Oryctolagus cuniculus: one gene and its partners. The protein of the gene in region 4 purifies or fractionates together with the protein of the main gene of each other region. This does not show direct contact. Links are inferred from orthologs where the notes say so. Each region holds a gene or a part of one and is shown on either strand. Other genes may lie near its edges.

What was found.
Region 1: the proteins of CUL4B (region 4) and GLMN purify together in Homo sapiens (affinity purification with mass spectrometry; 3 studies listed by BioGRID and IntAct, counting the BioPlex papers as one, with this or other methods). This does not show direct contact. The link is inferred for Oryctolagus cuniculus from reciprocal best matches to the Homo sapiens genes CUL4B and GLMN.
Region 2: the proteins of CUL4B (region 4) and COPS7B purify together in Homo sapiens (affinity purification with mass spectrometry; 6 studies listed by BioGRID and IntAct, counting the BioPlex papers as one, with this or other methods). This does not show direct contact. The link is inferred for Oryctolagus cuniculus from reciprocal best matches to the Homo sapiens genes CUL4B and COPS7B.
Region 3: the proteins of CUL4B (region 4) and DCAF8 purify together in Homo sapiens (affinity purification with western blotting; 7 studies listed by BioGRID and IntAct, counting the BioPlex papers as one, with this or other methods). This does not show direct contact. The link is inferred for Oryctolagus cuniculus from reciprocal best matches to the Homo sapiens genes CUL4B and DCAF8.
Region 5: the proteins of CUL4B (region 4) and DCAF10 purify together in Homo sapiens (affinity purification with mass spectrometry; 4 studies listed by BioGRID and IntAct, with this or other methods). This does not show direct contact. The link is inferred for Oryctolagus cuniculus from reciprocal best matches to the Homo sapiens genes CUL4B and DCAF10.
Region 6: the proteins of CUL4B (region 4) and TRPC4AP purify together in Homo sapiens (affinity purification with mass spectrometry; 4 studies listed by BioGRID and IntAct, counting the BioPlex papers as one, with this or other methods). This does not show direct contact. The link is inferred for Oryctolagus cuniculus from reciprocal best matches to the Homo sapiens genes CUL4B and TRPC4AP.
Region 7: the proteins of CUL4B (region 4) and GRWD1 purify together in Homo sapiens (co-immunoprecipitation; 4 studies listed by BioGRID and IntAct, with this or other methods). This does not show direct contact. The link is inferred for Oryctolagus cuniculus from reciprocal best matches to the Homo sapiens genes CUL4B and GRWD1.

What each region holds. Positions count from the first base shown.
Region 1 is NC_091438.1:78,327,673-78,331,780, forward strand, and holds the start of GLMN (glomulin), read left to right. Parts: upstream 1-1,308; 5' UTR 1,309-1,445; exon of another isoform or gene 1,446-1,700; intron 1,701-1,901; exon of another isoform or gene 1,902-2,038; intron 2,039-2,214; 5' UTR 2,215-2,251; coding exon 2,252-2,290; intron 2,291-2,571; coding exon 2,572-2,697; intron 2,698-4,108. Other genes in the region: putative RNA polymerase II subunit B1 CTD phosphatase RPAP2, read right to left, coding at 481-526, 1,184-1,256.
Region 2 is NC_091434.1:7,526,579-7,530,078, reverse strand, and holds part of COPS7B (COP9 signalosome complex subunit 7b), read left to right. Parts: intron 1-1,187; coding exon 1,188-1,293; intron 1,294-3,500. UniProt on the Homo sapiens protein: Component of the COP9 signalosome complex (CSN), a complex involved in various cellular and developmental processes.
Region 3 is NC_091438.1:38,706,758-38,710,257, forward strand, and holds part of DCAF8 (DDB1- and CUL4-associated factor 8), read left to right. Parts: intron 1-91; coding exon of another isoform or gene 92-154; exon of another isoform or gene 155-261; intron 262-2,427; coding exon 2,428-2,547; intron 2,548-2,963; coding exon 2,964-3,080; intron 3,081-3,500. UniProt on the Homo sapiens protein: May function as a substrate receptor for CUL4-DDB1 E3 ubiquitin-protein ligase complex.
Region 4 is NC_091453.1:98,262,894-98,266,393, reverse strand, and holds part of CUL4B (cullin-4B), read left to right. Parts: coding exon 1-31; intron 32-471; coding exon 472-563; intron 564-2,336; coding exon 2,337-2,444; intron 2,445-3,269; coding exon 3,270-3,383; intron 3,384-3,500.
Region 5 is NC_091432.1:200,636,598-200,640,867, forward strand, and holds the start of DCAF10 (DDB1- and CUL4-associated factor 10), read left to right. Parts: upstream 1-1,470; coding exon 1,471-2,009; intron 2,010-4,270. UniProt on the Homo sapiens protein: May function as a substrate receptor for CUL4-DDB1 E3 ubiquitin-protein ligase complex.
Region 6 is NC_091442.1:23,131,543-23,135,042, forward strand, and holds part of TRPC4AP (short transient receptor potential channel 4-associated protein), read left to right. Parts: intron 1-1,312; coding exon 1,313-1,396; intron 1,397-2,222; coding exon 2,223-2,313; intron 2,314-3,254; coding exon 3,255-3,395; intron 3,396-3,500. UniProt on the Homo sapiens protein: Substrate-recognition component of a DCX (DDB1-CUL4-X-box) E3 ubiquitin-protein ligase complex required for cell cycle control.
Region 7 is NC_091449.1:8,607,584-8,609,692, forward strand, and holds the end of GRWD1 (glutamate-rich WD repeat-containing protein 1), read right to left. Parts: coding exon 1,988-2,109; intron 1,184-1,987; coding exon 866-1,183; 3' UTR 501-865; downstream 1-500. UniProt on the Homo sapiens protein: Histone binding-protein that regulates chromatin dynamics and minichromosome maintenance (MCM) loading at replication origins, possibly by promoting chromatin openness.

The DNA of each region.
Region 1 (4,108 bases), on a different chromosome or scaffold from region 4:
TCTCCCTTTTACTGGTTTACTCCCCAAACGCTTGCAACTGCCAGGGCTGGCCCTGCTAAAGCTAGGAGCCAGGAACTCAATCTGGGACTCCCAAGTAGGTTGCAGGGTCCCAACTACTTGAGTCATCACCTGCAGTCTCCCAAGGTGTGCATTAGAAGGAAGCTGGAATTGGAAATGGAGCCAGGACTGGATCCCATGCATGTTGACATGGCACACAGACCACCCCAAGTGGCATTTTAACAGTTGCACCAAGTGCCCACCCTCTAGTTTGGTTCTCTTAAAGCCTGGAGGAGAGGGATGTAACAACTTACAGTGCTTTCCTTGCATCATAATTGTCTCCCAATAGACTGGTTTAATTAATACAATACTGGTTTAATAATAAAGACTGGTTTAATTAATACTGGTTTAATAATAAAGACTGGTTTAATTAATTCAAGGCACACAGATAAGCGAATGCAGTTGTTCAAGCAGTTCTCTTACCTTTTAGAAGCATCTTCTGATTTCAAGGCTCTTGTCTGTTTAGTGCCTACAATTTAAGAACTATATATATAGGTCAACTCTACACCAACATATCAGATGCAGCAGACTCCTACCCAAATAACAAACTGTAGCCCACCTTCTCTTTTTCATTTCCAATTATATGTGTAAATCAAAACGCAACTGGAAGGGAAACCAATTTCTTTGTAAATTAACTACTCCCTCATTTTTCTTAGTTACAACGTTATCTCTTTTGGTGACTGAATGGGCTCACGTGTCACAGCTGCTTAATCAAGCACTCCTAAAAATCCGAGATCGGAGTACTTTCTCACAATCCCCCAACCGTTCACTCCCAGGAGGAGAGAGGCGAGTCCAACACCTCCGAGGACAGGTCCAAGGTTTAAGGCAGATTGTATACGCTGCCAACCTCGCCCTGGTCACTCGCCCACCCTGGGGACCCCAGCTCTGGGCTCCCAGAACCCCCACTGCCCTTTCCTTCACACAACCCCCGTATCAAGGGTTCAGCTCCAACGGGGAGATCTTTCCCAAAACGCGCAAGGACTGCGGTGCAAAGCTCTAGGCCTCCTCTGCACCAGACAACCCTCCCCTAGGGCAGTCTTTCGAGAGCACCCACGCGCCTCCGGCCAGAATTCCGTCGGGATCCTGTCCCGGGGCTCCAAACGGGGGAAGAGGGCCCTGTTCCTACCTTTGGCGTTTCGGGAGGCGCGAGGAGCCCGGGCCTTCCGGCCGGGAGAACACGACTCCAGCCAGTCAGCCATGGGAGTCAGCCTTGAGAAAGCCAGGAACCTCCTCCGGCGACTCCCGCCCCCGCGAGGCCCCGCCCCCTACGCACAGCGCGGGGCGGGCCTGCCGCGGCGGGGCGGGGCCGGGGGCGGGGCCGGGAGAGCGACCTGCGCGGCCCGAAGACGAGGTGGTGGAGTGGGTAGAGAAGGCGCGAGGTCTGGCCGGTAGGTGGACGCGCCGAGAGCCGTGGGGCGGCAGGGGCTCGCGGCTGCTGGTGAGCGGCGGAGGACTGGGTGCCGCGGGCCTTGGAGGCCCCCGCTGGGTGGTGGGGCCGGAACGTCTGGGCGAGCCGGAGAAATGGCCTCCTCTGGATGCCGCCCGCACGCGTGCGAGGGTGTTACCGGCCTGTGAGCGCGCTGCCTGAAGACCCTGCTGACCTGCGCCGGCTCTGCGGGCCTGGAGGCGCGGGGCCAGCGACGGTGAGCGGGGGCGGAGCGGTGCCCTGCTCCTGAGCGCTTGCCGGGGCTCGGCGGGGCGGTTTCGCCGGATTGATGACTTTGGGGACTGCAGCTCTCAGACATGGGATGGAGGGCATCTGAGCCTTCACCCTCTCTGGGTGGTTTAGTTGTATTGCACCCTCCCCCCTTTTTTGGTCAACTTTGTATTAAAAAGTAAACAATTGCCGAACAAAATTTTTATTTCAAGTCCGCCTTTTGGAAATACTTTTGTATTTGCCTCGCTTTTTGGGAGTGCTCCTTGGGTTTTTGTTTTTGTTATTTAAGGTATCTGAAAACTATGCTCCTGGAAGATTTAAAAGGTGAATAAGAAAAAAAATGCAAGAGTCTTAAAAAATCGTTGATTTCTTACTATAATTAGTAGTAACATTTCGACTACAAAACTTTGCATTTTCTTTATTGTTTACTAATGTTCATCATAAGTTATGTATGCATGAATACATCAGTGGGATATTACACAGTTAACTGTTTTTCTTAGTACATTTCAGCGACAGAACTAGGATATATAAGGAGAAATGGCTGTAGAGGAACTTCAATCCATAATAAAAAGATGTGTAAGTGATTTTTTTGTCTTTTTGTAAAGTTAAATACCTTTCAAAACACCTAAGGGTATAGATTATTTTTAAATAGTTTTGTGTTTATCTTCTTTAATCCCTGCTCCTTTTGATCTATAAATAGAATGAGGGCAGGAAGGCACATTGGATTATTTCTCCAGGTAACATACTGATCTAAATAACCTTTTCACTGTTAATACTGATCCTTTTCCCTCGGTTTCTTTGGTACAGTGGATTTTGAGATCATTAAAGTACTTAGTTTTTTGTTTTGTTTTTACCAGCAAATACTAGAAGAGCAAGACTTTAAAGAAGAAGATTTTGGCCTATTTCAGATAGCAGGCCAAAGATGCCTAGAAGAAGGGCATATAACCCAGCTCTTAGAAATTATTCAAAATGAAAAGAATAAGGTAAGTTCTATCTTTGTGTTTACTTTTTAGTCTTTATTTGGGAAGAGAATAATCACATGATGCCATTATTCATCCCTTCCTTTATGTATCACACATTTAAGAATCAACTTAAACTTCCACAGTAGGAAACTGTGGAAGACAAAAAAGAAACTAGGAATGTTTCTGTACCTTAAGGTAGATAGAGTCTGGTGCAAGAGAGAAACATGGAGGCAACTAGCAGTAAGGAAGCAGAATAAATGAAAGAAATGCTGGGAAGTCTAAGTGAAGGCTTTACAAGGAGCACTATTACTTCTGGTTTAGGGAGGCAGCTGTGGCATTTTAACTGTTAATTTACATTGAGAAGTAGAAGTAACAGGCTCATTTTTAAGGAGCAGCCCTTTCTCCAGCCGGAGTGGTTATGGAAAGCCAAATTTTAATTAAGCAATATATTACACAAAATATTTTTGTGTATAATGTTACAAGAAGAGAAAGCTGAGTGACCTTACTGACCTTACTGGCCAATATTTTCCCACTGAAATGGTCTAAGACATCATTCTCCACATTGGGAAAGGATCTTGTTTGTGGATCAGGAACAGTTTCTTCCTGGGACACAGTGTTGGGAACACACTGCCAGATTTTCTGTCTTTGGACTCCCCTTCTTGACTCTAGGGAACATTGTGTTCTTTCTAGGAATATGGTCTTTCTTCATTTTAAGTGCTATTTATTTATATGGAAGTTGTCTTTGTTGATATCACAATCTACCAATGCTGGTCTGTGATTCTGTCCAGGGCACATTGATTGGATTTGGGAGATTCCTAAGACTTTGATTGCAAATTGTTGTATAACTTAAATGACTTATCCCTTTTTAATTTTTTATTTTGTTTTTGATATGTGTCTAAAACTTTCTAGCAAAAATAAAGGAAATTTCATGTTTTTTCAAAACTCTTGATTTTTTTTACCAATTAACATTCTCAGAGGATAATCTTGAGTATATGTAGCTTTTATCAAATAACGAAATTAAATAACAGAAGCCGGCGCCGTGGCTCAATAGGCTAATCCTCCACCTTGCGGCGCCGGCACACCGGGTTCTAGTCCCGGTTGGGGCGCCGGATTCTGTCCCGGTTGCCCCTCTTCCAGGCCAGCTCTCTGCTATGGCCAGGGAGTGCAGTGGAGGATGGCCCAGGTGCTTGGGCCCTGCACCCCATGGGAGACCAGGAAAAGCACCTGGATCCTGCCATCGGATCAGCGCGGTGCGCCGGCTGCAGCGGCGGCCATTGGAGGGTGATCCAACGGCAAAGGAAGACCTTTCTCTCTCTGTCTCTCTCTCACTGTCCACTCTGCCTGTCAAAAAAAAAAAAAAAAAAAGAAAAGAAATTAAATAACAGTACTTTTTACTGTGTGCCACATGCTATCCTAAGTAATTTATGTTTAC
Region 2 (3,500 bases), on a different chromosome or scaffold from region 4:
CATCTGCTTGTTTACTCCTCAGATGGCTGCAGCAGCTAGAGCTGTGCTGACCTGATGCCAGGAGCTTCTTCCGGGTCTCCCACGTGGGTGCAAGGTCCCAAGTACTTGGGCCATCTTCTACTGCTTTCCCAGGCCATAACAGAGAGCTGGATCAGAAGTGGAGCAGCCAGGACTCGAACCAGTGCCCATGTAGGATGCCAGCACTGTAGGTGGCGGCTTTACCCACTACACTGCAGTGCTGGCCCCAGCTTTCTTGTTTCATTTATTTGAAAGGCAGAGTTACAACAAGAGGGAGAGACAGATTTTCCATGTGCTTGTTCACATGGCTGCAATGGCCAGGAGCTGGAACTCCGTCTGAGTCTGCCACGTGGGTGGCAGGGGTCCAGTTACTTGGACTGTCTTCCACTGCTCTCCCAGGCACGTTACTTGGGAGCTGGATTAAAAACGGAGCAGGTGGGTTTTATATGGGATAGAGCATCCGGAACCCATATGGGGTGCTGGCCACAACCCCAGCCCCTCAGTTTTTATTTCTGTTTTAAATTTTTCAAAATAAAAGTTGGGAGAATAACAAGCAGAGACATGACCATTAGAAAGTAACTTAAGCTTCTGAGGAAAGGGGCACTGCAGAACGGATGGGGACTTCAAAAACTTCACTGGAAAATGGAATTGAAAGATAATTTTTTTGGTGTAAAAAAATCTGAAATCCATGCATATGAGAAATCGTCAGAAATTCATGGAAATTCATGTTAGAAAAACACTACTCATGGATCAGAAATTTTTTTGCACTAAAATAATATCTTTTAATTTCATTTTCCATGAACTTTTTGAAGTACATGCAAAGGATGCTTTTAGAAAGTTTTTTTTTTTTTTCTGTTGAGGAAAGTAACTCATCAGTGCCACCTGTGAAGTATCTCCTCCTTCCTTCCTTTACATCCTGTAAACCATTTCGTGTGGGTGCAGAGGTTGAAAATCAAACCGATGTTCTAGGAAGCTCCCTCCAGATCGCTGTCTGTCTCCTTACGTCCTCCGCAGTGTGTTTAGATATGCTTGTCTTTAGAAGGGACTGCAGGAGGGCTGAGAGCCTTGGCTCAGGGCGTGTTGGAAGAAGTCCCTACAGGGTGCTGGGAGGCCACTGGGAGGGAGGTCTCTGGGCCCTCCGCAGCTAAGGCTGGCGTTCTGCTCGGCAGGTGTGACGGCTGTGAAGCGGTTCTGCTCGGCATCGAGCAGCAGGTCCTGAGAGCCAACCAGTACAAAGAGAACCACAACCGGACTCAGCAGCAGGTGGAAGCAGAGGTAAGGGGGCGGAGTGTTTGAGCCTCTCTCCAGGAGTACCTGGCTTCCTTTTTTTTTTGGTGTTTTTGTTTTTTATGTGAGTGTTGGTGTAGGTTAAAGAAGCAGTTAACCAACAAGCAGGCACTGGGCCTGGTGCTGGGACACAGGGATGAGTGGGATATAGTTCCCGCCCTGAGCACTGTCAGCCTCCCTTCTGATTCCTGATTGGCAGAGGATGAGCAGGCCGGCCGAGCAGAGGAGGTTGGAGTTTCACAGAATACCTGCACTTTGCAACTGTAGCACCAAAAAAAAAAAAAAAAACAAAAAACGAGTCTGGGGGATGGATCTTAAAAATGGACAAAAGAGGGGCTGTGGTTGTGGTATAGTGAGTAAAAGCCACCGCCTGTGGCACTGGCATCCCATGTGGGCACTAGTTCAAGTCCCGGCTGTTCCACTTCTGATCTGGAGGACTTATTTATTTTCATTTGAAAGTTACCCAGAAAGAGGAAGAGACAGAGGGAGAGAGATCTTCTATCCGCTGGTTCACTCCCTAAATGGCCACAATGGCTGAGGTTGGGCCAGGCCAAAGCCAGGGGTCAGGAGCTTCCTCTAGAAATCCCAGGTGGGTGCAGCAGCCCAAGCAGTCCGGCCATCCTCTGCTGCTTTCCTAGGCACAATAGCAGGGAGCTGGATTGAAAGTGGAGTGGCCGGCTCTCGAATCTGCACCCATATGGGATGCCAGCTTTGCAGGTGGTGGCTTTACCCACTACACCACAATGTCGGCCCCTCAAATAAATAAGTAAATTTTTAAAAAATGGACAAAAGGAAGGTTGGCATTTGGTGAAGTGGTTGCTGGGACACCTGCATCTCATCAATGAGTGCTTGAGTTTGAGTCCTGGCTCAGCTTCTGACTCGGGCTTCCTGGGAAGCAGTGAGTGATGGCTCAAATACTTGCTTCGTGCTACCCGTGTGAGTGGTATGGATTGAGTTCCTGGCCGCTGGCTTCAGCCTGACTCAGCCCCACCTGGTGCAGGCATTTGGGGAACAAACTGTGGAATGGAAAATCTCTCTGTCTCTCTGCCTTTCAAATAAATAAAAACAAAAACAAATATATTTTTTAAGATAGGAAGATGGTGGGTACCAGGTACAGTGGAGGGAGGGGTGCAGGTAAGCAGGGGTATGTGGGCTTCAAGGCCTTGGTAGGGTTCTGATTTTTTTTTTTTTTTTTAAGATTTATTTATTTATTTGAAAGGCAGAGTTAGAGAGGGAGAGACAGAGAGATATCCATCTGCTGGTTCACTCCCTATGTGACTGGGCCAGTCCACAGCTAGGAACCAGGAGCTTCTTCCAGGTCTCCCACTTGGGCCATCCTCCACTGCTTTCCCAGGTGCATTAGGAGGGAGTTGGATGGCAAGTGGAGCAACTGAGGACACAAGCCAGCACCCACATGGGATGCCAGTGTTGCAGTTGCTGGCTTCACCTGCTACACCACAATGCTGGCCCCAGGGTCCTGATTCTTAAGTGGTGAGGCAAGTGTATAGCCTTCTCTCTGCCCTAAAGAAGGAGAGTTTGTAATGTATGGGTATGTATTATGAACTTTAAAAAATCATGAATAAAAGCAAAAACATTGGGTAGTTGAGACTCAGTGAAGGTACGCAGGTGGGAATGGTTTTAGTGACATCTGGGTGTTCAGGACATTTTTTTAGCCTCTTGGATGTGTGCAGACTTCAGCCTTTATGTACTGGGTGCTTGTTTGTGCGCCTGTAGCCTGACAAGTGCAGTGCCCTCAGAATTTGTTTGGAACCCTTACCATCAGAAGCTTTGATCATTATCAGTAGTGGAAATCCTTTTCTAATGTGGATGGGCTGTACGTGTTAATGGTGTTTCATGAGCTTTTACAAATCAGTTGTCCGAGAGTGTGGCAAAGAGAGGCCTAGAATTGCAGCTAAGGAGCATAAGAAGTGAGTGTGAGACTTGGAGAGTTCCCCTGCCCCTTGGAAATGCAACCTGTGTCTTACTTGTCTTTGTAAATCCAGCTCCTTGTCCCACGCCTCAGCCATGCGCAGTACGCACTCAGATGCTGCACTGAATATTCCCGGTACACCAAAGAGGGTGTCAGCGGCCTGCCGGACTGGGTTCTTCATGGACTCAAGCGCATTTATTTTGAATCCACCCCCCCCCCCCATATATATGCTCTGTGGGTGTTTGGTCTATAGTGCATTTTTGTT
Region 3 (3,500 bases), on a different chromosome or scaffold from region 4:
TCAGAGCTTCTGTGGCCTGAATACAGAATGAAAGGAATCTAGAAATTCAACGTGTGTGTCACTCTTTGCTTCATTTCCTACTCTTCTATAGGAAGAGTCCATCTGCAGTGAACAGACCCAAAACACTGGAGTCTTAATGAGAATTCTGCAATAGGCAGGTAATCAGAAGGAAGTCAAAAGGGGCCAGTGAATCCTTTCTTGATCATAAACTATTGTCTTGCATTCTGTTCCAGAGAGATGCAGGGCTGAATGCCCTCTCCCAGGCCAGCACTTGTCCGTTCTTCAAAAGCACTCTGCAGGCCAGTTTGCTTTCAGCTCAGCCAATACCAGGGTTTGATGATTAATCCAGGTGCTCAGGGTGGGGAGGGCATCTACTTGGGATGGGTGGGTCCCAGGCCTGAGTTTTAGTGGTCCTATGAATGAGAGACTAGAACAAGAGATAAGTGATTTTTCTTACTTGTTCTTGCCGCTGTGTGAGCTGAAAGATCCATGTGGTGCTCATCTGGCTCCCTGTTGTTTTTGTCCTAATCTTCCAGCGCTGGAGGTCCCCAGGCACCAGCTTCAGTGTAGCCTATGCAGCGGTTCTATATCATAGAGTGTTAGAACCAGAAGGAATCTCAGCAGTTATGTCCACCTTGCCCAGGTCTCCTGACTCTTACTGTGGGGTCTGTCCTTTGTTCCCATTCAGCTTCACAGGGACAAGGGTGGGGGATGACGTCAAAGGACAACTCCTTATTCTCCCAAGAGCACTTTGATACGTCGTCCCATTCCCTATATTCCTCCAGCCCCAGTCATCTAAGGCCAGAGCTCTTTTCTCTGCTCAGGCATATTGACAGGATAAGTCCTGGCATTCAGACAGGTCTGGTGAAGTGACCAGGTACCCTGGCCCGGAAGTTCTCTGTCGGCTTCCCCTGCAGGCTCCAACTCAGGTACTGTATGTAATTTATTCTCTTGCTCCTCTTGCCATTGGCTTTGTCCTTAGTCTTAAATCCTAAGGAATTGTTCCCCTGTACTTTATTTTGCTAACTTGTTCACACAGAGCTAGCTCAGAGTACAGGTCTATAGCAAGGGCTTATCAGGAGATGGATTAGTATGTTCAGGGTTTTTTGTGTATGTTTTCATGTATCTTTTGATAATATTTTCAGGCAATGGAGTTTCTTTCTACTGCCTAATCACGCTCCAAAAGCACTGCCTAAAAAGCCCAAATGCAATGAGCTTTGCAATGAGCTGAAATAGGAATTGGGGGAAGAAGTAAAAGAATGGGATTTCAACTTTATTCTTGGGCTCAGACTTAGATTCAGTCTTTGCTGACCTTTGTTTGTTCATTTGTAAAATAAAAATTAAAGAAGTTTACAGGTCTGTAGGTCAGCTTTATTTTTCATGCCTGCCCCCTTGCAGAGGAGGTTGGTTCAGAGAGAACCAAAGGAAGCTTCTTGTCAGGGGCTGTTTTCTTGAACTGCAGGGCAGCTGTAAGGCAGAGTGCCTTTCCTATCTTCCTCATCTGGCTAAAAGCCGAAAATACTTTAGCAGCTAGGCTGGGACTAGATCTTCCCGTGGGATAGGAATTGCCCTGCCCTATTGGAGAAGCTCATGTTTCCAAGTCAGACAGCAGGGGGCATATGTGCTTTCAGACGTGAGGAAGTTGCTTAAGCCAGAAGGCCTGCCTGCGATAGTTCTTTCTCCTATTGAGGGAATGTAATCAGAAGATAGCTGAAACTGATGCTGTGAGGGTGCCCAGGAAGCCCCCTTGGTATATTGTGCTGCCCTATAGCTGAGATATATATTGTGCTTTGAGAGCAGGTCGCAAAATGCTGTCCTCTGGGACATGCAGGTTTTTCAAGCAAACATGAGCCTTCATCAATGCCTTAACCCACAAGCTCAGCCTCCTCTTACCAACCTGTGCCTTCCTGCAGTTCTAGTAAACAGTGCCAAGTGAATGTAATTGTTGTCTGACTGTTCTGGGGGCTCAGTGGCAACTGCTGCTTTCTTCATTTTTAAAAATGTATTTGCCACTCAGTGAAAGCCACTGAGATGGGTTTTTTTTTCCAGCGTTGGGCTAGTTGGAGCTTTGGAATCTGGAGATAGTGAGGTCATCTGAACTTCATTGCCTTCTTGTGAAGCTAGCAGTAAGCTTTGGCCAGTCACTCACCTATATCTAGGCCTGTGTCTGGGGATAAAGCCATCCTAACCTATACATAGGAAATGATAGAAGGGCCTAATCTATTCAGTCTGTGTGCAGTATTTCCTCTGTCCACAGGGCCATTTGGCCCAGGCTTAGGACAAGCGGGCCTGCCTTTACAGCAGCTGCCTCAGCCCTGATCAAGGGCAATTGTTTGACTCAAGGTGAGTAGTGATTGTAAAGCTCTATTCCCCTACCCCTGACCCTTTTTTTTTTTCTTTTCTTTTCTTTTCTTTTCTTCTGACTAGGTAAACTGTCTTGAGCCCCACCCTCACCTTCCTGTGCTGGCTACCAGTGGCCTAGATCATGATGTGAAGATCTGGGCACCCACCGCTGAAGCCTCCACTGAGCTGACAGGGTTAAAGGATGTAAGTGGTGGATTACAAATGCTCTTTTCTTCCTGCTTACCCACATACGGTTACTCTTCATGGTCATGGGAAGGAATAGCTCGGCTCCCAGTTGTTTAAAGGCATTGCTCTAACATCCTCCCCTACATTCCTGTCATTGCATCTGTAAGAATGCTCCTGCTCCAGGGGGCAGCTCTGCAGTGCCTCTGGTTGGCAGTAGGAATGGGGGTAGGGAACCTCTTCTGGAAGAATTACTCAATTTTAAGGCTTTACCTCAGTAGCTGAACTGAGGGCATCCTTTCCTAATCTAATCTAGCTCAAGCTCAGCTTAATGACACCTCAGGGAAACTTTTAAAGGAATAGACCATCAGCTTCCTTAATCAAGTCCAGGGTTCCTGTTCATTGTTGGTTCCTTCCCCTAACCCATTTGGGTCTAGGTGATTAAGAAGAACAAGCGAGAGCGGGATGAAGATAGCTTGCACCACACTGACTTGTTCGATAGCCACATGCTCTGGTTCCTCATGCATCACCTGAGACAGAGACGTCATCACCGGGTAAGCCGGGGTTGGAAGTGAGCTCCTAAGGCAGTTGCCTTCTCAAGAGACCTAAAAAGTGCCAGTACACACCTCCTCACCACTTAAAGGAGGAATCAGGTGGTCTTAGTTAGGTTCCCTATCCATTGTCCCTATCCCCATCAGATCCCTAATAGAGCCTTCAAGGAGCCACAGCGGAAAGGGGTGGAGTCTGCTCATATTCTTCATTGCCATACATGCATAGTGCTGTATGCATAAAGGCAAAGTCAGGAGGGTGGGAGGGGAGTTGAGAAGAAATAAATTTCAGAGTGACCCTTCTTTTTTTCATACCATGCCAGAAGAGGCCTTGGGCAGTGGTCAACATGTTGGTGGTTGGCCTGCTGGTTTTGTAAATAAAATTTTATTGGAATGTAGCCACACTCATTGTATGTATACCTGTGG
Region 4 (3,500 bases):
GAAAAATCAATGTTGTCCAAACTCAAACATGGTATGTTTGCCATTCTTTGTTTCTTTTGATTTCTGAGGGAAAATGTTAGTTTAATTTTTATTCTTTCAGTTGATTACCTCTTTTGTCAGTCACTCTATGTATATGTGATGAAAACATAAATTGTGCAAGCCCATGAGGTTTCTAACCTATTACACGTATCTAGAGCTGTTTGGTTATTTAAAATAAAGCATTCTTCTTATTTTCATTATTTGTATAAAAATTTCCTATTTATCTTATACCTAAATTTAGATAAGATAAGGATTAAAGGGTTTGACTCTGAATTAGGGTGCATACACTTTGGGTTAAGGATTTCTTTTTATTCTTATGAACAGTTATGGATCATATTTCACGCTAAAGTAAATTTTACATTTCATGCTTCCTGTTTTAAGTTCTTTGTTGTTACCCCTTTAAAATATTATAAATATACAAATATCTTATAGAATGTGGAGCTGCTTTCACCAGCAAGCTTGAAGGGATGTTTAAAGACATGGAGCTTTCTAAAGACATCATGATTCAGTTCAAACAGGTAAAAGTGAGTTAAACTCTTACTTAATTCTTTGAACTTAAATATATTTAGTTGTGTCCTTGAGGTGATTTATATTGAAGGGAAAAATAGAACATATTTGTTGTAAATATGTCATAACAACTTAGATGCAACAGTTAAAAAAATGACCAGTGAAATATATTTGACCTAGTTTAGAGTTTATTCTTTTTTAAAAATTTATTTGGGGCCAGCACTGTGGCACAGCAGGTTAAAGCCCTGGCGTGAAGTGCCAGCATCCCATATGGGCTGCTCCTCTTCCCATCCAGCTCTCTTCTATGGCCTGGGAAAGCAGTAGAAGATGGCCCAAGTCCTTGGGTCCCTGCGTACACATGGGAGACCCAGAGGAAACTCCTGGCTCCTGGCTTCAGATTGCCGCAGCTCCAGCCATTGCGGCCATCTGGGGAGTGAACCAGCGGATGGAAAACCTCTCTCTCTGTCTCTACCTCTCTCTGTAACTCTGTCTTTCAAATAAATAAAATAACTCTTTAAAATTATTTATTTATTTGAAAGAATTAGGGAGAAAGAGAGTGATCTCCCATCTGTTGATTCACTCCCCAGAGTAGTCACGACAGCCGGGTCTTGGGCCGCCATCTGCTGCTTTATCAGGGAGCTGGATCAGAAGTGAGCAGCCAGGATTCGAACCAGCACCCACATGGCATGCTGTTACTGCAGATGGTTTAACCTAATACATCTCAGTGTACGTGTTGATCTTCTTATAGTATATGCAGAACCAGAATGTACCTGGGTCTCCCACATGTGTGCAGGGGCCCAAGCACTTAGGCCATGTTCCATTGCTTTCCCAGGCCATTAGCAGGGAGCTGGATCAGAAGTGGAACAGCTTGACTTGAACTGGTGCCCATGTGGGATGCTGGCACCACAGGTGGAGGCTTAACCTACTACACTACAGTGCTGGCCCCCCAAGGGTTTATTCTTAATAAACATGCAAAAATAACAAAAGTAGAAATAAAATGTAAATACCTTTTGGTTTTGCGTGTTCAGAGCTCACAGTGGAGAGGACAGATAGGTGATGAAGTGATTGTACAGAGGCTTTGGGGGAAATTGGGAATGAAAAGCTAAATCTACAGTTCTGAAGATGCAGGTACAAAGTAGTTTGAAATATTTTAAGAACATAGGTGATAGTTGATAGCAAATTAGATTTCCCTCTTATGGGGTTTTAGTAGTAACTTCTTTACCAATGAAAGACTCAAAGAGAAAGATCATGGTCAGTAGGATCATGGATCATGCAGTAGTAGATACAGACAGTATTTATTTGCTTTGCCCTTTCTCCCTGTTCTTCCTCCCCCCATTTTAGGTTACCCCTTGCAAAGCAGGCACTGGAGCAAATGAAAAACTGGAGACTTGGGCTGGCTGGTGGGGTGAGGAAGAGTAGGGTTTGGTTCTGGTGCTCCAAGTTCCCTGCAAAAGTGGGGAATGCAGGTGGTACTGGGGAAAATAATGGAGAAGAGATACTATAATAACCCAGCTGTATGCGAGAAAGTATTTAAGCTGATAATGCTTATCATGAAGTCACGTGATCCTTGTATGCCATTGCATCAAAATGGTGCCCGATGTCTTTATGTAGTACATTTTGTGAAGGCTTGAAGGGTTTATCTAAAGTCCTCTTAATAATTGACTTTTATTTTAAAGATGGTCAGTATCCTTATAATTTTATAGTGGGGAACTTCTCATAAATGGATCGGTAGTAGGACATGAAATGTACATACATTTAAGATCTCAGTGTACGTGTTGATCTTCTTATAGTATATGCAGAACCAGAATGTACCTGGAAATATTGAATTAACTGTGAATATCCTGACAATGGGTTATTGGCCAACGTATGTACCTATGGAAGTCCATTTACCACCAGAGGTAAGAGTTACTATTTAGGACCTCAGTTACAGGCATAGAAATCATAATTCAAATCCTTGTATCAAGCTAATTTCAGTGAAGGTAGTAATACCAAATTTCAGCTGTTTTAGTATTTTACTCTTTAAAATTTTATTTGTTATACAAGTTTCATGTGTTTCATGTAATATTTTACTCTTATATTTATATTCCCAGGTCCAGTTTAGCACACAGCTAATGATGCCAAGTTTCTGTGTTCAGAGCCAGTTTCCCCAACTCTTACATCTCTGCAGATTATATCCCTCATTCCGCCTAGCTAGCAAATATTTTTGCCCATATTTCATCTGTTGGCAGGATTGTTAAATGATGAGTGCTTACTGATTGCATCCAAACTCCTGGGAAAATATCTTGCTCAGGACTTAAGCCTAGAAAAGAGGTAAATGCTAGAGAAAAAGATAATGAAAATTCTCTTTGGAGATGATCATGGAAGTCCAGGAAGTAGATTTCTCTCAGTATGGGGGAGAATGTGGAAAACGTGGCAGAGGCAGAACTTTGGAAAAGGCTCACATTCAGCTGGTGGTAGGAAGAGGAACCTGTGAAGAAAACCAAGCAGCAGCAGTGAGGTAAAGGAACCAGTATAGTGCATGGTGTAGTGTTTCTAAAGAAGGGATGATTAAATGGTATAGAGAGATGTTGATCCATATGAAATAAGTGGTAATAGTAATATTACGTAGTAAGAGTATAGTCTTTGAGATTTCCAGAAGTTATTACACATGAGGTAGGTATAAAGAGTGGTGAATGTGGTACTGGATGTGGAGTTTAAATAAAGCCTTATTTTATTTATTTTAGATGGTAAAGCTTCAGGAGATTTTTAAGACATTTTACCTAGGTAAACACAGTGGCAGGAAACTTCAGTGGCAGTCAACCCTAGGACACTGTGTGCTAAAAGCAGAGTTTAAAGAGGTAAGTGGGTGTTCCCAGAACTTAGTTTTCCTCTTCTTCGTCTTTAATATTAAAGTCATCGCTCTTAACTGGATGGTTTAAGCTGCTGTCTAATAAATGTATTCTAGACAGCTAAAT
Region 5 (4,270 bases), on a different chromosome or scaffold from region 4:
GGCACGTAAGGGACATTATTTGTTGGTCATAAAACAGATCTCTACCCCTGTGCTCTGTGGGAGCAACGTGGGTGGAGGGCATCCCAAGAATGCTTTCCTTGGTGCAACTCCGGACGCCTGCCTCGTGTCCCCTCCTCAGTCAGCTCATGGCCGGGGGAGCGTGAACTACTAACTTTCCTGGCGGGAGGCCCTACTGGTGTTCCTCCGGATCCACCTCAGCCTGCAGGTGAGCCTTCTGTGCCACACGGCTCTTGACCAAGGCCTACGACAGCTGCTTGTTCTGTCTGCTCTCCTGAGGCCTACTTCCTTTCCCAAAGAAACCGCCCCCACCCCTTCCCCTTAACTCTTCTTTGTGTGTTTGCGCTCAGCAGCAACCAACTCTTCTTTGTGTGTTTGCGCTCAGCAGCAACCGTAAAGAGCCTCCCTCCGTCATGGCCTCCATGCCCGCCTGGCAGATCCGGAAGCAGGACTGACCCTGGTTTTGTTGCTTAAGGGGTTGATCTGATTGAGGTCTGCAGCTCCCCTCAGTTACTCTTGGCTGGATTGTGCTCCTGTAGAGAGGAAGGCTCTGTCAGTCTTAGAGCTGGGTAGACATTCAGGACCTTAGTAGCCCCCTTATTCTAGGTATTGTGCAGAGCAGGGCTTTTTTTAAAAAAATATATTTATTTATTTTTATTTGAAAGAGTTACACAGAGAGAGGAGAGGCAGAGGGGGAGAGCAAGGGGTCTCCCCTCTGATGGTTCACTCCCCAATTGGCCGCCATGGCCAGAGCTGCGGCGATCGGAAGCCAGGAGCTTCTTCCGGGTCTCCCACGCGGGTGCAGGGGCCCAAGGGCTTGAGCCATCTTCTACTGCTTTCCCAGGACATAGCAGAGAGCTGGATCGGAAGTGGAGCAGCCGGGATTAGAACCGGCGCCCATTTGGGATGCCGGCGATTCAGGCCAGGGTGTTAACCCGCTGCAGCACAGCGCCGGCCCCCGCAGGGCTTTTCAGTGCAAAAATTATTAACCGGAGTCCTTAGACTCCCGGGCTGAGCAGGCTGTGCGCCACGCCGCTTACCCTGGGTGACCTGCACATAATGCGATTATTCCCCACCCGCCCTCGCTGCCCCCAGTAGAGGAGACGCCAGTCCGTAATCCTGCCCAGCCTCTGGCCTGCCCGGTGGCCTCCTCGTCCCCAGGCATGCAGCCACCAGGCTCTGGCAACTACAGACCGCCTTTCAGCATCGGTCGCCCGCTCCAACGTACAGCTGGCAACCCGGCTTCGGTTCTCAGGGCCGCGGCGGTGCCTCTGCTTTCCCGGTCCCCGGCGCACGGCAGCCGGCTGGGCGCGGCGGGGCGCGGCTGGGCGGGGCGGGTTTCCTAGTCGGCGGAATTAGGCCGCCGCACCCGGAAGTAGCGGCAGGAGAGGGAGCGCTGAGGTGTCGGCAGGCGGGACTGCGGCCGGGAGCCGGGGACGGGGGGCGTTGGTCATGTTTCCCTTCGGGCCCCGTAGCCCCGAAGGGGACCAGGCGGAGGAGCTGACGCCCCACGGAAGGCAAGCGGCAGCCGGCGGGCCGCCCTCTCCTCCCCCGCCCGCGCCGCCGCAGCCCGGGGCTGACTCAGGCTCGCCCCCGCCGCCCGCCCGGAGCCCCCGCCGGCCCGGCGCCCCCTTGCTGTCCCCGGCGGCGCGCGCTGGCGAGCTCGGGCCGGCCGGAGCGCTGGAGTCCTCAGCCGCCTCCGCCGAGGGAGAGCCGTCACCGCCCTCCTCTCCGCGCCGGCGCTCCGGGCCGGACTGCAAGGCCGGGAGCCGGGGCTGGCACGGCCTCTGCGCCGGCCTGGGCGGCCCCGGCGCCAGACTGTTCGGGTGGCTGAGAGAGCGCAGCCTGGGCCGCGGGCTGTTCGTGGACCCGGCGCGGGACAATTTCCGCACCATGACGAACCTCTACGGTTCCATCCACCCGGCGGACTCGGTGTACCTCAGCACTCGCACGCACGGTGCCGTCTTCAACCTCGAGTACTCGCCCGACGGGTAAGCGCGGCCTCTCGCAGGCTTGCCCACCTGGAGGCCTGGGGAGGGGAACGCTGGGGGAGGGGCGCCCGGCAGGTGTGCGGGAGCTAGGCCAGGCGGTGTCGGGGCAGACGTTTCCAATGCGTGCGCCTACTGTCCCTGTGCTCCTGGGCTTCGCTTTCTCGCTGAAGCTCGCTCGTGTCCAGGGTGTGGAGCCTGCAGATTCCCTGCACCTGGTGCCGGGGCTGGCCGTGGGGGCGCGAGTGTGATGAGTTCCTTGGCTCCAGCAGGAAGCCAAGACACTGCCGGGAAGCCTTGTGAAGTCCCCTGGCCGGACGACAGGCTTCTGTTAAGGCTGTCCGGCCTTTTTCTTGGCTGATGAAATATTTTATGCGTGGCCCTGGTGTGCTTTTGGCTGTGGGGTATTTTCCAAATAACAGGAGCCTTCTCTGTGTATTTAAAACCGCGGGTTAGGCTGCTGTTTACAACGCCGGCGTCCCATATCCGAGCACCAGTCCGGCATTTCCGCTTCCCAGCCAGCTCCCTGCTAATGCGCCTTGGGAAGCCAGCAGAGATGGACCCGAGTGCTTGGGCCCCTGCCCGCGACGTCAGAGATCGGGTTGCGTTCTGGTCTCCTGGCTTCACTTGGGGCTGGGTTGCTGCCACTGGGGAGTGAACCAGCTGTGGAAGCGCTGTATCTCTCCTTTTCCCCGTTCCCCCGACCCCTTTCTGTTGTTGTGCCTTTCAAGGAAAGAAAGAAATCTTCAAACAAACAAACAAAACAACTCTGTCCTGTGAAGAAATGTGAAAGCGGCCAAAGGAGCAAATGTGTATACAGGAGGCATAATTATAATTCTTAGCCTATCAAGGCCTCTGGTTTGCTAGTTATTCGCTTGGTTGCTCGTTCATTCCTTTATTCAACAAATACCTGTTGAGCGCTGCTTTGTTCCAGATGCAGGGGTAACAGTGGTGAGCAAAACCAGCTAATGGCACTGCTGTCATCGACTTTGGGACCTATCAGATAATCTTAGAAAATAACACATAATGTATGTTTACAAGCAGAGATAAAAGCTGGAGGCAACCTCTTGTGGACTGTGGTGCTTGAGGCTTCCCTGAGAAAGTGACACTTGAACCCCTAGGAGAGAAGTGCGTTCAGATAGGGTTGGAGAGGGGATAAAAGTATTTCAGCTAGAGACTGGTGTAGCTGAGGACCCGTGGTAGGGGAGAGGCAGTGTCAAGTTAGAGAAGCTGAGAAAGGCTAGGGTTATGAAGCAAAAATTGTAGAGAAACACCTAAAATAGCCAAGGAACAGAGTCAGAAATTGTTGTAAGCAGGCTGGTCTTAGCGCCATTTCGCTAACGCAGATGCGGCCTAGTCACATCCTGTGCGAGGTTCCCTGGCACTTCTCTTTCTTGGGGTTGGGTGCACAGCATAGGAGCGGACGCGTACTGATTAAGGCAGACAGTTGGTGGGAAGAGAAAGGTAATTCCGTTGAAGCTTGTGCATGGAACCTTCTCTCTTCCTTCCTCTAACCAACCTCTTATTCAAGGTCTCCTAAAACACCAGGAATCTCCCCCTTATTCGTTCCCTTTCCTCTCCGTGTCCTGTCCCCTCTCCTCCCATCCTATGCCTGTACTTCCAGGACAGGAGAAGGTAACTGCTTCTGTTCTTTGGAGGTGAGATTTTAGGCTGAGGATAGGAGAAGCAATGAGTTATGAAGAAGGAATTCAAATTGCAGGTATTCTGGTACTTAAAATGAAAAAATTCAATAATTTAAAATTATACAATATATGTTTATTGTGGAAAATTTAGGCAACAACAGAACAAAAAGTAGCTTAGTGCCACTTATAATCCTAGAGACTGAATAAATTGCAGACACTTTTTGTGTTTATTTTAACGTACATAGAATCATCTTGTTTTAAGTAGCTAAATGCCACTTATAATCCTAGAGACTGAATAAATTCCAGACACTTTTTGTGTTTATTTTAACGTACATAGAATCATCTTGTTTTGTAGCCTTTTTTTCTCATAGTTTTTATGAGCTATTTGTTAATATATTTTTAAAGATTTATTTATTTATTTGAAAAACTTACAGAGAGGTAGAGGGAGAGAGAGGTCTTCCATCTGCTGGTTCACTCCCCAAATGGCCGCAATGGCCAGAGCTAAGCCGATCTGAAGCCAGGAACCAGGAGCTTCTTCTTGGTCTCCCACACGAGTGCAGGGGCCCAAGGACTTGGGCCATCTTCTACCTTCCCAGGCCATAGCAGAGAGCTGGATCAGAA
Region 6 (3,500 bases), on a different chromosome or scaffold from region 4:
CCTTTCGCACTCACTTGGAGCTGCAGTGCCCGAGGCCCCTGTGCCTGGCGCTGTGCTCCGCCACCTGCATTTTCTCCTCAGCCTCACGGCGGCCCTAGGCGGGACATTACCACCACCATTTTACAGATGACAGCAGGGGCTCCGAGGGGCCCCCCTGCCGAAGGCCATGCGTGCTCCGTCCCTGCCCCCGTCACGTGTGTCTGACAGTGCCGCTGTGTACTCCTCTGTTGCCCTGTGGCAGCTTCAGCCCCACAGGGCGAACAAGCAGGCTCTGCCAACGGGCCTCTGTGTGGTGATGCGGGGCAGCCCGGCGACGGCTCCTGGGGCTCAGGCAGGGGAACAGGTGCCAGCAGCAGGAGCCAGCATACTCCAGCCTTTGCTTTTTTTTTTTTTTTTTTTTAAGATTTATGTATTTATTTGAAAGTCAGTTACACAGAGAGAGAAGGAGAGGCAGAGAGAGAGTGAGGTATTCCATCCACTGGTTCACTCCCCAGTTGGCTGCAGTGGCTGGAGCTGTGCCAATCCGAGTCCAGAAGCCAGGAGCCTCTTCCGGGTCTCCTACGCGGGTGGAGGGGCCCAAGGACCTGGGCCATCCTCCACTGCCTTCCCAGGCCATAGCAGAGAGCTGGATCAGAAGCGGGGCAGCCGGGACTCGAACCGGCGCCCATATGGGATGCTGGCCCTGCAGGCAGCCCCCAGCGTTTTCTTTTTAAAGGCAGCAGAGCTCTCGTTCAGGTGAAATTGTGCACAGTGCTGTCCCAGTGTGTGCAGCGGTTCAGAGCAGAGCTGATCTCTCTGAAGAGGATTCGAAGGGCACACCCTCACCTGCATGGCCGTCTGTTCCCGTGGTGAGGCCTGAGACATTTCCTCATCTCCCGTCTTTGCTTCACTGGTCTGGAAGCTGAGACTGGAGGCACTGGTACCTGTCTAGGGCTCCGCTGCTACTGAGTCTGAAACGAGGAGTACCCTGGGCCCCGCCCTGTTGGCACAAAGTGAGCCTCCCCAGGAGACTGGCGTAGACCCACTCTGCGGGGTTCTGGGCCCTGACTGGCTCTGGATGTGTGTCTGGCCTCGTACCATGTCTAGGAAGGAGAAGCTGTCCTGAGACGCAGCGGGAGTGCACATGGCTGTGCAGTGTATGGCCGCAGGAGCCCTGGGTGCTCTGGGCTCGGGGAGCAGGAGGGCATCCTCCAGACTCGGAAGACGTCCCTGTGTGTTTTCACCTAGCTAACCTAGCGGAGTGACGCAGCCCCAAGGCCCCTGGCAGCCTCAGGTCTGCCACCGATGCCCTCGTCGTCTTTGTTTGTCTTAGGAGTTTGGTGTGTGATGGCAAGAGGGGCTTATTAACTCGACTGCTGCAGGTCATGAAGAAGGAGCCTGCTGAGTCATCCTTCAGGTGGGTCTGAGGGACGGGTACCTGACCCTTCCGCAGTGAGGGGAGCACGTGTCTCACATGGTCAGTCACCAGCATCCACCCCCGCACAGTGGTCAGCGTCGATTGCCCTCCGGCCCTAGTCGACGCAGATACGTGGGCACCACCCTGCCCATTCACCAGGCTCCTGCTCTGTGTGGCTGCTGGGCAGAGTACCCCGCGCGGATGGGGAACGAGTGTGAGCAGAAACCTCTGAATGTGGTGTGGACATAAGTGGAGCCAGATGCTCGGGGAGCAGAGGAGAGCCCCTTCCCCTGCTGGGGGCTGGCCAGGGACACCTCAGAGTCCAGAGTGGTCTGTGCTGAGCCTTAAGGCTGTGGACAGGAGGGTTCCCAGCAGGGCCAGTGTGAGCACTCGGTAGGCTGTGTTCCATGGGGCCCTTGTTGCCGTGGCCTGCCATGCCCACACTCCCCGACATGGATCCCAGCTCTGACCTCTGGGTCACGTGGTCAGCATCAGCCACCTCCTCACTAGGCAGCCCATCAGCTTCCTCCACTCTTTCCCCTCAGTTCACATCTTCCTGTTCTGGATGGGCAAAGCGTGTCCTCACATGGGACTCACTGCGACCCCTTCCAGAGCCCAGTGCTTCTGTCAGCTCCAGGGGGATGGGGGTTCTGCTGCTCACCGCTGTGTCCCCTAGACCTGGGGTGAGGCCTGCTGCCCGGGGGCTGTTCATTTATTCATGCTGAGTAGATTAAGACGGCAGACATCTCCCCACCCTGGGGACATTGAGTATGAATCAGAAGAGGGCAGCCTTAGCTCCGAGGCCAGCGCTGTGTTTGGGTTGCAGGTTTTGGCAAGCCCGTGCTGTGGAGAGTTTCCTGCGAGGGACCACCTCCTACGCCGACCAGATGTTCCTGCTGAAGCGAGGCCTGCTGGAGGTACGGCTGGAAAGCAGCGGCCGGGCCCCTCTCCCCGCGGCCCCACTGCTGTGCTGTCCTGAGCCTTACGGCTCACTGGGGGCAGACTCGGGCTCTGCTCTGTAAATGCTAATGCAGATTGCCCTAGTGTTTGCCCTGACTTCCAACTGTGGCTTCCCCCTGGGTGCTGGAAGAGTGATGGAGGGACTCGGGTGACCATGCAGGAGGACAAGGGTCTGGAGTTGCCCAGCAAGGCCTTTTGACCCTGAGGATATTTTGATCCGACTGAAAATAATTTTGCTTTATTGACTCATGTCCTTCAGAAAAACATTTACAAAAAGGGAAGATAGAAAAACGGCCAGATTATAGTTTTAGAAAGATATGGACAAGAAACTGGCTCATGAATTTATGTAAAATCCATATGGGAAAGAAAATAGTCCAAATCAGTGTAGCTTCAAGAACATGAAATGTTAAATGTTGGAAACCATTTAACTATCATGGAACACGTCATCAAGGAGGTAAAAATTGGCTTAGCTCTTGATAAAAAACTCATTGCTTTTGGTGTGAGTTTTTAAATGGTTCCATTCATAAACACACAACCACGGGGTCACAGTGTGTCCGGTGCCCTTCCTTTACTTGGGTGGTCACAGTGCCAGGGCAGTGGCTGATGCCAGAAGTGAGATCTGCAGAGCACAGAGCAGGTCAGCCCCAGCTGAGCCTGAGCACGAGAGGGAGGTGTGCCACGCTCCCAGCCCACCGCTCCTGGCCAGGTGCGTCAGCCTGACCTGCGCTTGGTGCCGCCGGCATCCTAGGCCAAGAATCTACGTGCGGCTGAGGTTCCATGGACCGGGTGCTTGCTCAGAACAGATGTGTGGTGTGATCTCTGTGCCAGTCCCTGTAGGAGGCAAGTTGGGGCCGACCCAAGTCCCACCCTGGTCACCCTGTCCCCTTGTCGTGCCCAGCATATTCTGTACTGCATTGTGGACAGCGAGTGCAAATCAAGGGATGTGCTCCAGAGCTACTTCGATCTCCTGGGGGAGCTGATGAAGTTTAATGTTGATGCATTCAAGAGATTCAATAAGTACATCAACACTGATGCAAAGGTAAGGTCAGGCCATGGCTCTCTGAGGGTTGCTGCATTGTCCAGAAGTTACCTTGGAGCCCTTGTCTGCCAGTCTGGAAACTGGAAAGTGCTGGGGACTCTGTGG
Region 7 (2,109 bases), on a different chromosome or scaffold from region 4:
CCCCATGCCCTGGGGGGGCTCTGCTGCTCAGGCTGGGGGAGGCCTCTGGGGGCCCGGGGGCTGCGGTCTGTCCTCGGCCCCAGGGGCCTGTGCCGGGCGCCCGCGACCTCTGAGTCCACAGGCGGATCAGAGGCCTGGATGGAGGGGGCAGGGGGTGTGGCCAGCAGCGCCGCAGAGGGGGAGCCAGGGAGGACGGCCAGGCAGGCAGCTGGGCGGCAGCCCAGCAGGCTGGAGAGGCACAGGTGGGGGCAGGGAGGCACGGAAGGCCAGGGACGCTGATCAGGAAGAGAGGAGGAGCTGGGGACATCGCTGAGGGGTCCCCTGGAACGAAGCCTAAGTGGGGGCATGGGACGAGACCCTCTGACTGCTGAGTCCCAGATGGAACACAACAGAGCGTGGCCCCTGCCGCGTGGGGGCTGGAGCACACACAGCGGGGACCCCCTGGGGACAGCTGGGGACCGACTTCCTGCCTCGCCAGGCGGTCGGAGCCTCACACGCCCTCCGGGCCTGTCTGGTCCTTTATTGCATCTCGGGAGCCCCTGCCCTGCGGCTCAGAGAGGGGAGGGCCCCACGCAGCCCCCTGCTGGGAAATCCTGGCCAAACCCAGCGGCCGGAAGACAAGGGTGGGACCAGAGTCCGCTGGAGGAGCCCACAGCTCGGGTTTGGTCCGGCCTTTGTCAGGCCCCTGAGGTCCCTGGGGAAGACCAGGTGCCAAAGCCCAGGGCTCACAGGCCACGCCGGGCCCGCCAGGCCCCGCCAGGTGCGGGTGTGGGCCAGCGTCCATCTCAGCCCTTTTCTCGGAGGGGCAGCCGACAGGCGGCACGAGCGGCTCCTGAGCAGGGCACGGCAGAGGCCGCGGCCCGCCTCAGACGCTGATGGTGCGGAAGATGGTGAAGCCGGACAGGGCGGTGCTGACCACGACCCCGGGGCACTGCGGGTGCCAGTGCAGCTCCTTCAGGTCGGTCTCGCCCTGGTGCACGAACAGCAGCTGCTGGGGGAGGTCCGCCAGCCCGGGCTCGGCCTCCGCCTCCCTGGCCTCGGGGTCCCGCTCCACGGCCAGGTCCCACTGCGTGATCTGGTTGTCGGCGCCGGAGGCAGCAAAGACCCCGCTGTCCTGGGGGTGCCACTCGACAGAGGTCACGGGGGCCACATGCTGCTTGAAGGTGGCCACCGGGGAGCCAGACTGCGGGCAAGGATGGAGTCAGGGGCTCAGACGGCTCAGCCTCGGGGTTCAGCGGGACCCCGCACCTCACCACCCACAATCTGTGATGAGGCCTGGAGGAAGCCCCCCCTCTCCTCCCTGGGTGCGTGCCGGCTCCCTCGTCTAGACAATGTTCCCCCAGGGCTCTCCCCTGACTTTGTGAAGGCCCCACTTTGGGAGCTCCAGAGGCAGCCAACCGGGACAGGGGTCCCAGGTGCTGCTGGGACCTGAAGGAGGACTGGCTGCAGAGGGCCACCGTCATCACCTCCAGGAGCCAGCCCAGGCTGAGTCCACAGAAGCGGCTAAGCTGCAGGGAAACAGATGACCCGGCCGCCCCGGAAGAGCTCGGGCTCCGGGAAGCTATGGCTCCGTGCACAGGGACCCCACAGGCTGCAGCTGCTCCTGCCAGAGCCTCTTTCTGCTCTACAGGTCAGCGCTTCGCCGGGCTGTCACGTCGCACCTGCTCCTGTCCTCGCTGTGCCGCGCCTCCTCCCCTGCAGCGAGTGAGCTGGGTTCCCACTCTCAGTCCACCACAGGACCAATCTAGAGTTCCCAGGGGCCCTGAGTCGTGGGCCGCACAGCGGCTGCACCTCTGCCCCATGGGCAGATGGGAGCTGCAGTCTCGTGGTCTCTCATCCCTCGTCAGAGACCTCACAGCCACCAGGACCCTTCCTCTGCCCGAGCGTCAGCCTCCCCACCCACCCCAGGAGGGGCTGGCCCCGCGCCGGCCGGCCGCCCGAGCACGGAGGGGGAACCCGCAGGCCCAGCGGCTGCTCCGGGAGGTACCTTGAACTGCCGCAGGTCCCAGACCTTGAGCGCCCCGTCGTCCCCGCCGCTGAGCAGGAAGGGCTCCCGGCGGCTCCAGCTGATGACGTTCACGTCCCCGTCGTGGGCAGCGGCTGTGGTGA